Linked DNA regions of Alligator mississippiensis. The protein of the gene in region 1 binds, or shares a complex with, the protein of each later gene. Links are inferred from orthologs where the notes say so. Each region holds a gene or a part of one and is shown on either strand. Other genes may lie near its edges.

Region 1 (7,458 bases):
CAACAGCGCCAGGCATTCGATACCCTCTAATCAAATGCATCTCTCCCCTGTAGCCTCCCCTGCTTGCCCAATCCCGCCCCCACCTGCCAGTCACCTCAGTCCTAGCCCTGAGTCCCCGCTGCTATTTCAGTATAGCCCCTGCCTAGGTGCATCCTCAGTGCTCCTGCACCAGCCCAGCCCCTGCTTGGAGCCCCAGGGGAGGAGATTCCCCCGTCCCCAGGCAGTTTGTCTCAGTGCCCTGTGGCCCCAATGGGTGGGAAGTCCTTCCTGAGCCCTGCTCTCAACAAACCCATTGCCTCAGACCCTGCCCTGTTCAGCTGGGGGCACTGCCAGTCTCTTTTGCTTTCCAGCAGCCTCTGACCCCTGCTCCGTCTCCTGTCCTCCAAACCACACCTCATCCTCATTCTTTTTTTATATAGCGGCACTGCAGCCCCTTTAGCATCATCATTGCTCGCCTCTGGATCCCCTCCAGCTTCTCTACGTCCTTCTTAAAACGTCGCCCCCCAGGCTGGACACAGTGCATCCTTTCCAGCGGTCACTGCCCTGCATGTGGCTATTTGGTTCGTCTGTGTTGAATTTCATGTTGTCTATCACCCAAGTCTCTCATGCCAACCCTGTTTCACAGCAGCATTGGGAGGTGGACAAGCATCAAGCAGCAGAAAGGCGGTCAATACACTAAAGAGATTAATTTTACCCATCATTTAACCAGAGCCAGGGTCTGCAAAGAGGTCCAGACCCATGCATTCAGCCTCCGGCCCTTCAGCAGGTGAAAGAAGCATTGCTATGTTTTATCCTTGCCCTCGTGACCTGGTACTCACTGGACTTCAGAGGAAATTGCTTTGGGGAAGAAAGGGAAAGTTACAGGACTCTCCAGGCATGAATCAGAGCAGGACAGTCGTGTAATTAGCCAGTGACTTGAGCCAAAAGCTTCAATTACACGCTGCTCTCAGTGTGGTCATGGCAGGGCTGGAATTGCAGGCGCATGGGACCTTCCTGGGATCTTGGCTGATTCCCCCACCATGACTGAGAGAAGACCGAGGGGGATTGAATAGCAGCCTCCAACTCCCTGCAGGGGGTTGCAAAGAGGATGGAGCTGCACTATTCTCAGTGGGGGCACATGACAGGACAAGGAGCAACGGGCTCAGGCTGCAGCAAGGGAAGTTGAGGTTGGATATTAAGGAAAATGTTCTCATGGGGAGGGTACTAAAGCACTGGAACAGGCTCCCCAGAGCGGTGGTAGAGTCTCCATCCTTGGAGGTTTTGAAGACCCAGCTTGACAGGGGGTTGGACTAGATGTGACCTCCTGAGGTCCCTTCCAACCTGAATTTTCTATGAGTTCTTGACTGGGCTGGGAAATGATGTAGCCTTCTAGCTACAGCTCCTGATGGTCCGGGGAACAAGGGGCTCCCTAGTCCAGGGGAGTGCTCTGCAGGGCATTTTCACTGCCTTGTCCAGGGCTGTTTAGACAGGCCTGCCCCGAGACAGGGTTCCTGGGGCTGGAGGTAACTGCCTCAGTGCAGCGGTGCCCAAACAGGCATCTAGGGAAGAGACCCTGGTTTGGAACAGGGACAAAATCTCCCCAGTTAAGACAGACACACTTTGGTTCCTAGGGGCTTCCCACCACAACCCTTGAGCAGGCATTTCTGCAAGCTACTGCCAGACAGAAAATCCCCCTTCCTTTTTGGCCTTCACCTAGGAGCGTCCAAAGGGCAGAGGAATGAGGCTTCTGTAGCTGGGAACTGCTCTAGCTCTGGCACAGAAGCACCATGTGTCCTTGACAGTGTCCCTTGAGACTGCACTGTCAAACGTTGGCAGCCGCAGTCCCTCTTGCCTTCCCTGCGGCAGGGTTGGGTGCGATGCCTGGTGCTGTGTCCGGTGACTGTTGTTTTGCTCAGAGGTTGGACAGTGAATTTGCCTGGGATGGTTTGGACAGGGCTGATGCTACCTCAGGCAGGGGGTTGGACCAGACGTGAGGTCTCTTCCAGCCCCACTGCTCTCCCAGGGGTCTGTGATCTGTCCAGTTTGCGCCCAGCCGGCAATCTTGAGAGCCAGGATGGAAAACAGCTCCCTCTCCTGTCAGTATTTCAGCTCTGCAAGGCTAATGAGAGTCACAGCTTATTATGGGGAACATCAAAATCATGGTTTGGAGCATTAGCAGAATTTGCAGGGATTACCAGGGATTAGCTGACAGGGGTCACAACGTGAATGCTTCTGCTATGAGGCTGGAACCCCCCCCCCCCAAACCAAAAAAATGGACGTTCCAGCAGCTGAGTTCTTGGCACCGGGGGGCTGACGAACCATGGCAAAGGTGGCAATGTCTCAACCGCCTGCGTACCAGAGTTGGATACTCCAAGGAACTAACGAAGAAGTGAGGATATGCCATTGGGTCAACCCCACCTGTGACTGCAGCACAGAGCCTCAGACTATGCAACACATGCTGCAATGCCTGCTGCTTGAAGGCACGTGTAAAGTAAGAGATCCCGCAAAGTAGAAAAAATGAGCAGAAGCATGCGTAACAAAAAAAACCCGGTCAAATGTGGTGTAGTGACATGAAGAGAAGAAAAAGATGGGGAACTTCAGCTCCCTAGAGAATGGCATGACAGTGCATGAGAAAGGGTCAGGTGCTGGTCATCTCTGTACAGAAAACGGCTGCTGCCTCAGGCAACTGTGGTGATAAATTCCTATCTGCAAAGCATCCAACTGACTGGCTGCAAGTCCCGTTTCCCATCGGCTCGGAGATCCCAGGCCTCTATTCAGCAAGCTAACGGAGAGCAGTTACTGCCTCGGCACGCACAAAGAGGTCTGCTAAAAGCTCTCGAAGGCAGGACTAGAGCGTGCTCTCTCAGGATACACACGTGTAGGTGTGCATGATGCATTGATCTGTGATGCAAGCTCATGCAGAGAGCAACAATGCCCAGACACTTCCAGTAGCTCCAAAGGACCAGGATGCGGTTCCTGGGGATGATCACGGACTCGATTTTCTCTCTCTCACCAGGGAAATATGCAAGAGCAGGCAGGGCCTCTCCGGTTAGCGGCTGGAAATAGCAAGCAGGAGATGTGGCCCATGTGGGAGGCCGAAGAGGAACAAGCTCTGTGGCTCACAGGACGGAGAGAAGGGTAAAACTGAAATCCACTCTGCTTCTCCTGCCTCGGAGCCTCACAGCCTCGGTGGAGAACAGACCTTTTACAAGGCAAGGAAGGAAGCACTAGGATGAGCTGGGGTTAGGGGAAGTGAAAGAGGGAAACAGCCACACCAGCCTGCCCTCTGCTTGGAAAGGAGCAGCAAGGAGCAGAGGAGCCGGACCTCCAGGCCACTGTAAATAAAGCTCAGCCCGAGGCTGCCTGCGCTCCATTTACCACGTGCAGCAGTTGTGTGTCCTGTTGATCGAATGGGGACAGTCAGGTGCATCACCCAAATTTCCCTTCCTGCTCTGGAGACACAGGAGGTTCCTCAGCACAGAGGTGTGCCAGCTCCAGACCTGCCCCCCACAGCTGGGGTTTGGCTTCGTTAAACACAGGAATCCCTGCATCGGCTCACGTACAACACACGCCATTTCCCCCAAAAAGCAGGGGCTGGGAATAGGGGTGCACGTTGTAGGCAAAGAAATATGGCAATAGCAGTTTCAGTCACTGAAGCGTCCACGTGGCACAAGCCACCCCATCCACCGAGAGCGGAAGAACGAACCGGGTTGGGCTCCTTAGCTGCTGCGACTCAGTGACTTACAACAGGAAAGACCTTTTTTTGTCTTCATTCACGTCATGTGCAGGGGAGTACAGTAAAAAAAGAAAAAAACCCACGCTAACCATTGCATTTAACCGCTGCATGTAGTGCAGGCGCTCCCCAGCAGGTTTCGCAAGGTGCCCCTGCCACTCTCTGGGTGGGGGAAACCAATCCAGGACACCACGGTCCCGGGTGCATCCAGAGAAGCAAGTGCAAGTCTCCCTCTCAGACACCTGCACCCCAAGGGTGGTGGGTGGGGGGGGGTTGCAAAGAGGACAGAGTTGGGCTGCGCTCAGCAGGGCCAGCTGGCAGGACAAGGGGCAATGGGCACAGGCTGCAGCAAGGAAAGTTGAGGCTGGAAAAACTCCCTCACTTAGGAGTCAAACAGAAGAAAGAGTCTCCACCCTTGGAGGCGCTGAAGCCCCAGTTAACCCAGACACCCTGTCTGAAAGCACCCCACGCAGCCCCAGGCTCTTCTATAGCCCTGCCCCCTATCACGTGACCCAAGGGACGCGCGGCCGGTTCCCCCCCCCCGCCGGGCTCCGGCCTCCCTCGCCACGTGACCCCCAGCGGAGCGCGCCGATTGGCCCCCCTCTCTCTGTCTCTCTCTCTCTCTCTCTCTCTCTCTCTCGCTCTCTCTCCCCCTCCCCGCCGGTCACGTGCCGGGGGAGCGGCAGGCGGGTCACGTGCCCGGAAGCGGCGGAGTGGGGCCGGGGGGAGTGGCCGCCTCTTTTCCCCCCCCCCCACTTCACCCACCCCATCTCCTCCCTCCCGCTTGTTGTTGGAGCGAGGGCTCATGTGACCGGGGCGGCCGGGCCCAGCCGGACAGCGCCCCCCGCCCCCGCCTCCCGGCCCGGCCCGGCTCGGCCCGGCCATGGGGTGCTGCTACAGCAGCGAGAACGAGGCCTCCGACCAGGTGGGGGAGGGGTCCCTGAAGGGGGAGGGGAGGGTTTGGGTGGGAGACCCTCGGATGGGAGGGGCCTAGAGGGGTCCCTGAAGGGGGGGGGATGGGTAGGCCCTTGGGGAGGGGGGGCTTGAGGCCTCAAGGGAGGGACTTGGCACGGGGAGGGGGCGCGGGGCAGGAGGCTGCTCGCCCCGGGGGGGGGGGGGGGGGCGAGGTTGGGAGCAGCGCTGCGGGCTTGGGGGGGAGGGTGCCCCCGCGTGCGTGGTGGGCTGGTGCGTGGGCGGAGGGGGGTGGGGCTCTCAGTCAGGGCTTGCCACCCTGCGGGGTGACCTAGGAGGCGGGGCGGGGCCGGGGCCATGGGGTGGGTCTGCCCTGACCCTGGTGGAGACGGAGGCTTTTCCCTTCGGAAGGGGGCGGGTTTCCTCTGCGGCTGCTGTGGGCAAGCGAAGGCAGCACCTGGTCGGTCGGGTCCCTTCCTCCCCCGGTCGCTGCGTTACAGGCTGCGGGGCGAGCGGGGGGAGCCTCCGCTGCTGGGTCGTTTCTGGTGCCAGAAAATGAGGGAGCAGGCCGCCTCTTTCCACTGCTTGCCCTCCGCGCTGCTGGTCGGGGTGCTCGGCTTGGGTTCACCAGGGCTCGGAGGCCTCGTGCCTACAGTGGCACGGAGCTGGGCCCCACCGCCGCTCGTCCCTGGCCCTTTCCTTGTCGGCGCGCTGGTTCGAACCCAGCACGAGTTGCCAGTAGTGCCGGTGTGACGGCAGATTCGTAGCTGTGCAAGAAGTTTAGGGGCCTCCTTTAAATTCCCGGTAAGCTGGCGTCGGCTTTGCCAAACCCTTCAGCAGAGCTGACGCTAATTAAATCCCCTGGTTGGCAGCCTCGACAGAGACCGGCTTGAGCCTTGGAGACGGTGTTCCCTTTGCACGCTTACAGGTGGCTCTCGCAGAGCTGCCTGGGGTTGGCTGGCAGTGCGTGGTGGGTTTTGGGAGTGGGATGGGTAACCCTGTGGACAAAATCTGGTTCAGCTGGTCCTTCCTATTGGAACAAAGCGGCTGCAAAAGTGAGATGGGAGGACCGCAGACAGCATCTTCCTTCGCTCTGTGGGAGTTATGTTTTATCCTGGTCTTCTGGCCTTTTCCCAAATGAATGAGCTCAGGACCTCTCTGAATGTAAAATAAGTTTTAAGTGTGGCCACCAGTTAGTGGGAATCAGATATTTGTAAGGAGCGTTGGTTTGAGTTCAACATGCACCGGAAGGACCGCTGCGGTTCTGGAACGTGCTTGCTTGCGTTCGGTGACGGCCTGCACATCCCGGTCCAGATAGACTTCTAGGTGCAAGCGTGGGGCAGAGATTTGGACCTTGTTCTTGGTAGATTAGCCAGCAACTGATGTAGGGAAACCAGCCAAATGCAGGATACCCCATCTCCTCCAAGCCTTGCACACAGTGGTATTTACCTGGCTTCAGGGGGTAAGAAGCTGCCCCCTGTGTGAAGTCAGTGCATGCATGTTGGACAGACAGGAGCTGCTGCTTAAATCTGTCCCAGGAAGACCCCAGATTGCGTCTCATAGCACCTAATCGACAGCTATCCAGTGACATTGGAGATAGTGGGATTGCCAGAAGGATGGAGATGGTAATAATATTCTAGGGTTAATTAATGACTGACTTGGCAGCAAGGCTGCTCCTCAATCAGAGCTGTGTTTCCTTTGCTGAGAGCTTGAAAGGACTCTTGTTTTTGAGGCTCTGGTGATGTGGTCTGGCTTTGAATGGGGCACACCCGAGTTGCAACAGGAGTGAAGCGGGGTGGAGGTGTATAGGCAAACCCAGTGCAAGGGCTTGTCTTGACTAGGTCACGATCCAGCTGGCTTTACCAAGCACCTGGTGACTGAAACTGGCCCCTTCTGCTGGTCTGGTGACAGTTGAGCCATCCCAAGGAGGTACTGGAAACCCAGTGCTTAGTCAGTGGTGGAACAGCTTGCTCAAGCTTGCTACTGGAAAGTCTCGCTCTGCATTTGTCTCTAAACCTTCCTTAATTTCCTTACTTCAGCTGTGCAGAATCACCATGGAGACCAACCGGGCCAGACACTTATTTGCCCTTTGTCCGGAGAGTTTAGTTGATTGCCTAGACTGCCTGAGCCTGCTTTGCTGGAGCTGATGGCCCTGATACCTCTCTGAATTCCTCCCCTCCTAGGCCTGCCCGTACACACATTTGAGGGCGTTCATGTGTAGTTGGTGCAGGACACACCCTTGCAAGCTCTCATTATTCAGCTGTGCAAACCCAAGCTTGGCCCCTTCTTCCCTAGCAGGAAAGGCAGAACTTTCACCCATACAGGATCCGGACCTGCCTTTTCAGTCCTTCCGCTGCGTGGATGTTCCTGGCACTGCCTGGGCCTAGACGCTGCCTCCCCAGAGCCCCTCGGACTGGAGCAGATGGGGGTTGGGTTCAGGGTGGCTTGTCACAGCCTTGGGAGCGGATGCGTGTGCATATCGGCATGGGTCCGTGTTCTGCACTTTTCCACCCCTCAAGTATAGGCATAAAACACTGTCCCGTGCTCTTATAGTAAGTGACGAGGCCCAGGCAGTGAAACATGGGGAGGAAGCAGCTGAGAGGCGTGAGCTCTCCCTTCTCCAGGGTGGGCTTCTCTCTGGTGCCTGGGGCCCATGATATGACACCAGCTGGGCCTGTTTCCTGCCTGGGCAGCACGGGCCCTACGGAAGTCTCCGGCTGTTGTGGCCCCCTCCAAAATGGGAAGTAACCAAGGGCTCATCTGCAGTCAGCTGCTGCCACAGGGAAGCCACTAGACTGCAAGGCAGTTGCACAACTTCAGCTGGCTTTGGCTGG
Region 2 (7,625 bases), on another chromosome or scaffold:
CCTTACACCCTTGCTTATTTTCTCACACTTCATGGCACCCTTCAAAGAATCAACTCCCCAGCTGAGAATCACTGGTTTTGACACAGACCTCCGGAAAGGCAGGATCATTTAATCTAGCGCTCCCTCTTAGCCCCCAGCCTTATTTTTCTTAAGAAAACAAAAAACCACTACTCCAAAAAAACCCTACACAACCATTAGAAGTTGTGAATTACCTTTGATAACAGGCACACCATCTCTGTCTGAGACTACAATAGCATGAAGACCTTCAACACTGTAAAAAGAGAGAAAAAGAACATGAGCATTGGGGAGAATTTCCATCCCAGCCTCCTCCCCGTCTTCCTTTCACCAGTTCTTTTTTTTCCTCAGCATTGTCCCCTTACCCATCTACCAACTCTGCTTATGTGCCTGGGGACAGGTACCAGGGTGGGGGCTTAAGCTTGCTATTGTTTTAGCAAGGACCTCATGACTAGAGGTGGAGGTAGGAGCCCTGCCCCTCTGCTCCGTAACCAGTGATGCACTTCAAGTTGGCTGGCTGGGAGCCACCAAGTGACGGCCTTCACTGGATCAGGTACATGATGTCAAAAGGCCTATATATGCCAAGACTGCCCAGGAGGAGGGGTTGTAGCCATGATGAAGACACAGAGCAGCTGAACATCTGCAGCTCTCTCATCATGTGGACACACTACAAACTGTCTGCCTCCAAAGCAACGCTCTATCAGCCTCTGGATGATACTTGAGAGTAAACCACTCGGAACCCAACTAAATATATAGCCTGTAGATCACGCACTTGTGTTACAAAAGCGACCTTGCCACTGTTTACTTAAGAGTTATTTTGTAGTATTTCTCTATCCTGCACCCTCCCCCAAGCCTCCCCTTTGTAACCAATAAAGTTCTTCACTGTATTAAGTCTGGTGGACTTGTTGGGAGAGGCATGCCTTTGTGCCCCCTTGGTCCGGCTGACTAAGGGAGGCTGCTTTTGTGCTTCAGGCTAAAGGAAGCACCCCAAGCTTTTACAGTGGGTTGAGTACCCTCAAGGACTACACGGTGTGTGTACGCAACCCTGGGCAGTGGCGGGGGTAAATGCCAAGCTAGCGGATATGCTCCAGGAAGGGGGTCAGCCAGATGTGAGGCATCCCCAGGGAGGCATTTGAAGGGTGGTAGGTGGTCAGGCGCAGTGAGGTGGGTGGCTCAGTGCAGGAGTGCCCCCTACTGGCCTGCCACAAAGTACACAAAAGCAAGTGTGAGTAAACTGCAAGGAAAAAGGATGTCACCACATTCCCACTGCTATCACTTAAAGCCTTGCTTAATCAAACAGACCTGCAAAATTCACATCGTGCTGTGTTTATGCACATCTTAGAAGTACGAAGGTAACTGTACCAAAAAAAACAAGACCCCTCATGTGGGCCTTTCAGCTTTAGAAGAGGATTACTATGGGAGATGACCCTTAGTGCAGGCTTCACTGCATTTAGAGTCACAGAGCACATCTACTTAGGGATATCAATCAATACCTTAGGCTAGCTACTTGCAGTTATGAGAAACAGAAGTTACCAAGAACCGCCGATCCTTAAAGAAACAAAACAGACGTTTCCCTTGAGTTCAGTAAGTTATCCGTTCTAGCATACTGTTTCCCTGTAGCGCACAATGAAAAGCAGGTTTGAGCTGTGTTGTGTTAAGGTTGATGGTAGTCTCATGTAGAATTCAGATAATGGATTGCATGGGGTGGCTGAGATAGGGATGATCCTGCCTCATGCAGGGGGTTGGACTAGATGGCCTCTGGAGGTCCCTTCCAGCCCTATACCTCAGCCTACTTCAAGGATGTGGGCGTCTTGTGGGTAGAGTACTACATTTTGAGCTGGCAGGGTCTATTTAAGTACTGAACTGAGTAAACACATGTGCTTTTGTGCCCAAAGACACTCTGTTAGAATGACTCCATCGTGGGGTACTGCAGCACTTTACAGAACACCCAGTGGCTCTTGAAGCATCCTGACAGCACAGACAATACAGTGAGCTCTGCTGCAGGCAGAACAGTGACTCAAATTAAATAGCAGCACACACTCTTCACAGAGCAGCACCAGGGATGATCCACCGCAGGAAATTCTGAGGAAGTCACATGACTGCCCACCATGCCCCTAGATGACACACGACACCCTGCCACACCTCCAGAGGACATGTAACACCCCAGCCTCCCTCCCCCCACAGAAGAGAACATGCTGCACCCGTCAAATTCCTGGGATGCTGTGCTGCTGCCCCCACCTGGAGGCCAGGTGGTGCCCACTCCCCCCATGTAACACCACATGCACCACCCCCCCAAAGGCCACGGGACCTCCCCCATCCACAGACCAGGAGGCCACATGATGCACGTGTGTTACCTTGGTAGCTTTTTGTACAGGAACCTTTTCAGGTCCTAGAAAGAGAGAAAAGCATGGCACAGTTCAGCTGCAGGGTCCTGGCCAGCACACGCCTGTGCCCCAAGTGTAAAACTACTTAAGAAGGGGTGTTTCCTGGTGAGGAGGGGAGGTTCCTCATCCCTTCTTCTGGGGGGGCAGCCCCCGAGAGCAAATCTGCTTCACCTCCAGGCGGGGACTCCTGGCACCAGCTCAGCCACGCGGGGAGACCTCCCCCACCACCCCTCTCCCCGGTGCAGACAGCTGGGGAGGGAGGCCGCGCCCCCCAGGCCCCTGCCCCCGCACTCACGTCGGCCATGCTGCGGCGCCTCCGCTCCGCCGTGCTGCGGCCGCTGCTTCTACAACACAAGCGCCGCGGGTCACGACCGAGCCGCGGCCCAGAACCGCCGCCGGAGCCACAGGCCAGGCCTGCCCCGGGGGTAGGAGGAGGCTTGCCCGTCGGGCCCAGCCCCCGCCAGACCCCTTCTGTGGGGAAGGGGAAGGATGGCCCCCAGCCCGCCTCACCCTGGCCACAGGCGGACGGCTCGTCCCGGGCTCGCGCAAAGCAGCCCCGACTCTACTGCTTCCTCTTCGGAAGCGAGTCACATGAGCCGCCACCTCCCTGCCCCGGAAGCGGTTGCCCGCCGCTGCCTCACTTCCGACTTCGGGGAGGACGGGGTGGGAGCTGCGCGCGCCGGGAGGAAGCTACGGGCTGCGGGAGGAGTCATAGCACGCCGGGCCGGGGGCGGCACCGCCTGGGCGTGGCTCGAAGCCGGCGCGCCGCGTCTCCACGGCAACCGCGACGGAGGGGGGCGGGGCCGGGGCCGGGGCCGGGGCCGCTGCCTGGGAAGTAGGCTGAGGCTCGCCCTGGGAAGGGAACGTGGGGCTGGGGGACCGGGCGGGCGCCCTTTGCTGTTTGCTGCTCGAAGGTCCCGTGGCAGGGTGTCAGGTCACCTGTTGTAGGGCCGAGACCGCAGAGTTGGATCACAGATAATTAGGGTTGACAAGGACCTCAGGAGGTCATCTAGTCCAACCCCCAGCTCAGAGCAGGACCAGCCCCGACTGGATCCTCCCAGCCAGGGCTTTGTCTGCCTGGGTTTCAAAAACCTCCCAGGATGGAGTCTGCAGCCTCCCTGGGTAACCTGTTCTCATGTTTTACTAGCCTCCTAGTAAGAGTTTTTCCTAATATCTAACCTAAACTTCCCTTGCTGCAGCTTGAGACTACTGCTCCTTGTTCTGTCACCTGCCACCCCTGAGAACAGTCCAGCTCCATCCTCTTTTGAACCCTCTTCAGGTAGTTAAAGGCTGCTCTCAAATGCCCCCTCAGTCAGGGCTGCAGCCAGGCCAGACCAAATGAGCAGGAGCCACCTCCATGGCCCAGTGGGCAGGACCCGGCGTGGAAGAGCAGTATGCTGCCATGACCTCCAAGGTGAGGCACCCCTTGCCCACCCAGCAGCAGGCCCAGGCCCAACTCCATGCTGCTGCACCTGTTTGGTCTCTGGTAGCACAGCGCTCCCTCCCACACTGGGTCCTGCCTGCTGTACTGCAGAGGCGGATCCTACTTGGAGCTGGTCTAGCCAGGCTGCAACCCCACACCCTGTTGTGGGCACAGAAATCCAAGGCGGACATACCCCCACTCCCCGCCACATCGCTTGTGCCTACCTCCAACCTGTTGCCTACGCCCATACACCCCCTTCCCCACACATGCACTTTGTTCCCCATACACCCACCCCCTTCCTCACACACTTGGGGGAGCTGGGGCCTGCGGGTGGGGGGCAGCAGGTCATGAGCGAGGGGCACTAGGAGGGCTGTAGGCTGGGAGTGAGGGGCAGCGGCATATTAGGGCTGCTCAGTGCCATAAAGCAGCAGGGGGCGGGCAACCACTACTGGACCCATGTTCTGATGAGTGAAGGGGGAGGGGGAGTTCTGATTTTCCATAATAAAAAAACAAAATCATATGCCAAAATATATAGGTATTTAGAATTTATTATAATGACTGAGGCGCTGGTAGGCTTTCAAATTGCTTTAGAATAGTAAATATATCAGCAAAATGTGGTGTTCAACTGATCCCTATAGAGTGTCATTTCATTTTAATTGTGTAAAAACACAGATTTTGGGGTTTATAGTCAGAGAGATTTGGATTTTTAAATAGAAAAAACCAGGATCTCTGTTCATAACCCATTCCTTTTGTCATAGTTCCTACCTACTGTATAAAATTCAGTAAAAGCTATAGGCACAGACAGTTTTTTTTGTGATCATGTATGCCACTCAACTAAACAGCATTTGTTTTAAGAAATCTAATTACTTTATTAATAAAAACAGCAATTAGGATGAAAATCAGATTATCTAATTAGAGAAGACAAGTGTGGCTGTTTAATGCCCTTTTCATTTTTCTCCCAAAATTTAAAAATAATTTTGAACTGTAAGGCAGATTTTCCAGATGAGGTTTATATTTCAGTGTCATTTATTGTTTTAAATTACAGATATTTGCAGTTATCTACTCCTTTGCAGGACTGAAATATGTAGTCATCATTATAAACAAACCTTCCCCCAACATGACAAAATTAGGTTTTAGATTTTTTTTTGTGTAACTCATTTCCATTATGAACTGCTGTGTATTCACTTTTATATGAAAGAGCTTATAGGCTATCTGGTTAGTTACATACGCTAAGCAGACATGTTGGATTATACTAAACCCCTACAGCTTCAGTTCATTGTAAAGTATAAAACTAATTCCCACCTCAGCACACAGAAGGACATTTGTGTACTGTCACTCTAGTACATAATTTTTTAATTCAAAAGTGACAGCTATAATTCCTTCTTCAGAAGCATATACAATTATAACTTTGGTATTTTTTTAACATTAGTTTAGATATGTGCACCAAATACAGGTATTCCTCACTTAATGTTGTCCTGGTTAACATTGTTTCTTTATTACCTCATTAAGCTATTAGAGAACATACTCATTTAAAGTCACATAATGTTCACTTATAACATTGTTTGGCCGCCACCTGCTAGTAGGTAACTACTGTGATGTAACTGTTAACATTGTTTCACTGAAAGTTGGATTTAGCTGTACATAATAATTATGAGCAAAATTAGGGGTGAAATACTAGCCCCACTGAAATCAATAGTAGTACATCATTGACTTCAATGGGGCCAGGATTTCACTTCATGAAATAGTTTATGGTGCATATATAAATAAATCACTGAACACAGTCCTGAGGTCTGCAAGAGGTAGAGCCCTTAATTCTGTATTCATCCCTACAAGTCTTGTTTTTTTCTCTGTCTCTTGACTACTTTTAAACTAACCACAAACTAGCATGTCATGAACACCCAATACTCTTCTTTTTCAAGTCATTTGCCAAAGGAAATATATTGGAATACACTGGAATGTTGTATTTATGAATAATACAATATTATTATAAATAAATTATTATAAATTAAAATTAAACTATAAATAATTAATTAATTATCATTATTATGTTGTTCTCAAATAAGAATCTTTGTTTCAAATAGGTGGTCATCCTTTAGGTAATTACATGCCTGTTTAGAGAAGTCTCAAGTTATAAAATAATCCATAAGGAATGGTAGTATCAAACATCTATCTAGTAGCCATAACATTTTACCCTAAAAAGGACTACTTGATTATTAAGCTGAACATTTTTTATTCTTAGCCTTTAGTTTGTGGTGCTGAGAATACCATAACATCGTTACTTCCTTTTTAAATGCAAACCACTTTTCATGAAGCAAAACTAAAATGGTTAGTCATCAGAGATGTTTTTAACAGGTAAAAAGATAAGATGGTAGCACAGTTTCACACTGAAAATAATTTTATTTTAATATAAGTCTGATATTACATTAGATATATTAGAAATCAGACAAGTATTTTTTTAAAACCTAACCTTTAAATCTTGACTGCGCTACTGAGTTAGACAAAATAATATAAGATCTTTTTTAAGATGCCAACTTCATTTCACTGCATGTCCTTTTGCAAGGCTTCCATTAAATTTATTAGAGGGGTCTTGAGCACAATTTATTTTCAGTTACTGTGGTGCTTGTTTCAAGAGTCTAGAGAACAAATATTCAAGTTCCTTCAGATTTTTAAACCAAGCAATGCTTTTAAAATATCATTGTCTCAGCTGAGCAAGAGCCAGTGCCAGCAGCAGGTTCATAAATGGATTTGAAAATGGCTTAACATTACAGATATTTCATATTTTATTCAAGCTGAGAATTGCTTTTTTACCCTGTCAGCTTTCAGATTGCAGTGCAGAATGAACAGGTATAATTTTCTTTTGAGAACAAATGTTGTAATGAGAATGTCACTCACTCACTGGAAAAAATAAGCCTTTTAAGATCAGTGACAACAGAACCCACCAAAGTTGGATGGATAATTTCTTGGTGCTAATGAAAGCCCTGTTCTGTGCAAACTTACAGAGGTACAATATTAAACAAATCACAAGTTTGAGGTATTAGCTGGATAAAAGTATGTACACCTATACATCTGTGCACATACAATAGTCACAAATCTACTGGCCCCGAGATCAGCAAACCTTGGTATTAAGAGAAAAGAAATCATGTACTGATCAGGGAAATTATACATGCAGAGAAGCTTTAAAAAAAAACACACTTCACAGAATCCTTAATATAAGGAACATTTCTTTTTAACATGCTTAGAAGAAATCAAATAATCTAGAAAAAAAAATCTATTTTAGTAGTGAGGAAGCCTGAAGTGCTCCAGAAAGATTACAAAATCATCTAAAAGATTAGGCCTGGTCCTACATACTGGGTGTATCTACACAAGATGCTAGAAGTGCAGTAGATTAATTCTACTGTGCATTACTGTGTCACGGCGAAAACCATGTTAATGTGCCATACAATTAGTTAACTGCGTATTAGCTTCATGTAAAAGATGTGTGCCAGCGTTACTACGCAGTAGCACAGATTACCATGCATTAATGCATGTGTAGGTGTACTCACTGACACTTAAACGCACAAAAAACCCAAATGTGTATGAAGACTTAAAGGCTGTTTTTTCCTCCCCATTCCAAGCTTTTCATATCTATTTCCTCCTGCCTTCTAATAGTGACAAGCAGAAACCAACATAAGTTTTGAAGTAGCTACCACTAGTCACAGATCATTGTTTACTTGTTCTTCCACTCTACTGTGTTGAAAAACCCCAAAACCTTAATTCATGGCTTATACTTATTTAACTGGATTTGAAAGTTAGGCTTATTTTTG

What was found.
Region 2: LAMTOR1 (region 1) and LAMTOR3 share a complex: the UniProt entries of both Homo sapiens proteins name them as parts of the ragulator complex. The link is inferred for Alligator mississippiensis from reciprocal best matches to the Homo sapiens genes LAMTOR1 and LAMTOR3.

What each region holds. Positions count from the first base shown.
Region 1 is NC_081824.1:477,691,779-477,699,236, reverse strand, and holds the start of LAMTOR1 (ragulator complex protein LAMTOR1), read left to right. Parts: upstream 1-4,438; 5' UTR 4,439-4,595; coding exon 4,596-4,637; intron 4,638-7,458. UniProt on the Homo sapiens protein: Key component of the Ragulator complex, a multiprotein complex involved in amino acid sensing and activation of mTORC1, a signaling complex promoting cell growth in response to growth factors, energy levels, and amino acids.
Region 2 is NC_081825.1:161,212,235-161,219,859, forward strand, and holds the start of LAMTOR3 (ragulator complex protein LAMTOR3), read right to left. Parts: upstream 3,049-7,625; 5' UTR 2,910-3,048; intron 2,904-2,909; exon of another isoform or gene 2,744-2,903; 5' UTR 2,704-2,743; coding exon of another isoform or gene 2,695-2,703; intron 2,405-2,694; coding exon of another isoform or gene 2,370-2,404; intron 2,205-2,369; exon of another isoform or gene 1,630-2,204; 5' UTR 319-1,629; coding exon 213-318; intron 1-212. UniProt on the Homo sapiens protein: As part of the Ragulator complex it is involved in amino acid sensing and activation of mTORC1, a signaling complex promoting cell growth in response to growth factors, energy levels, and amino acids.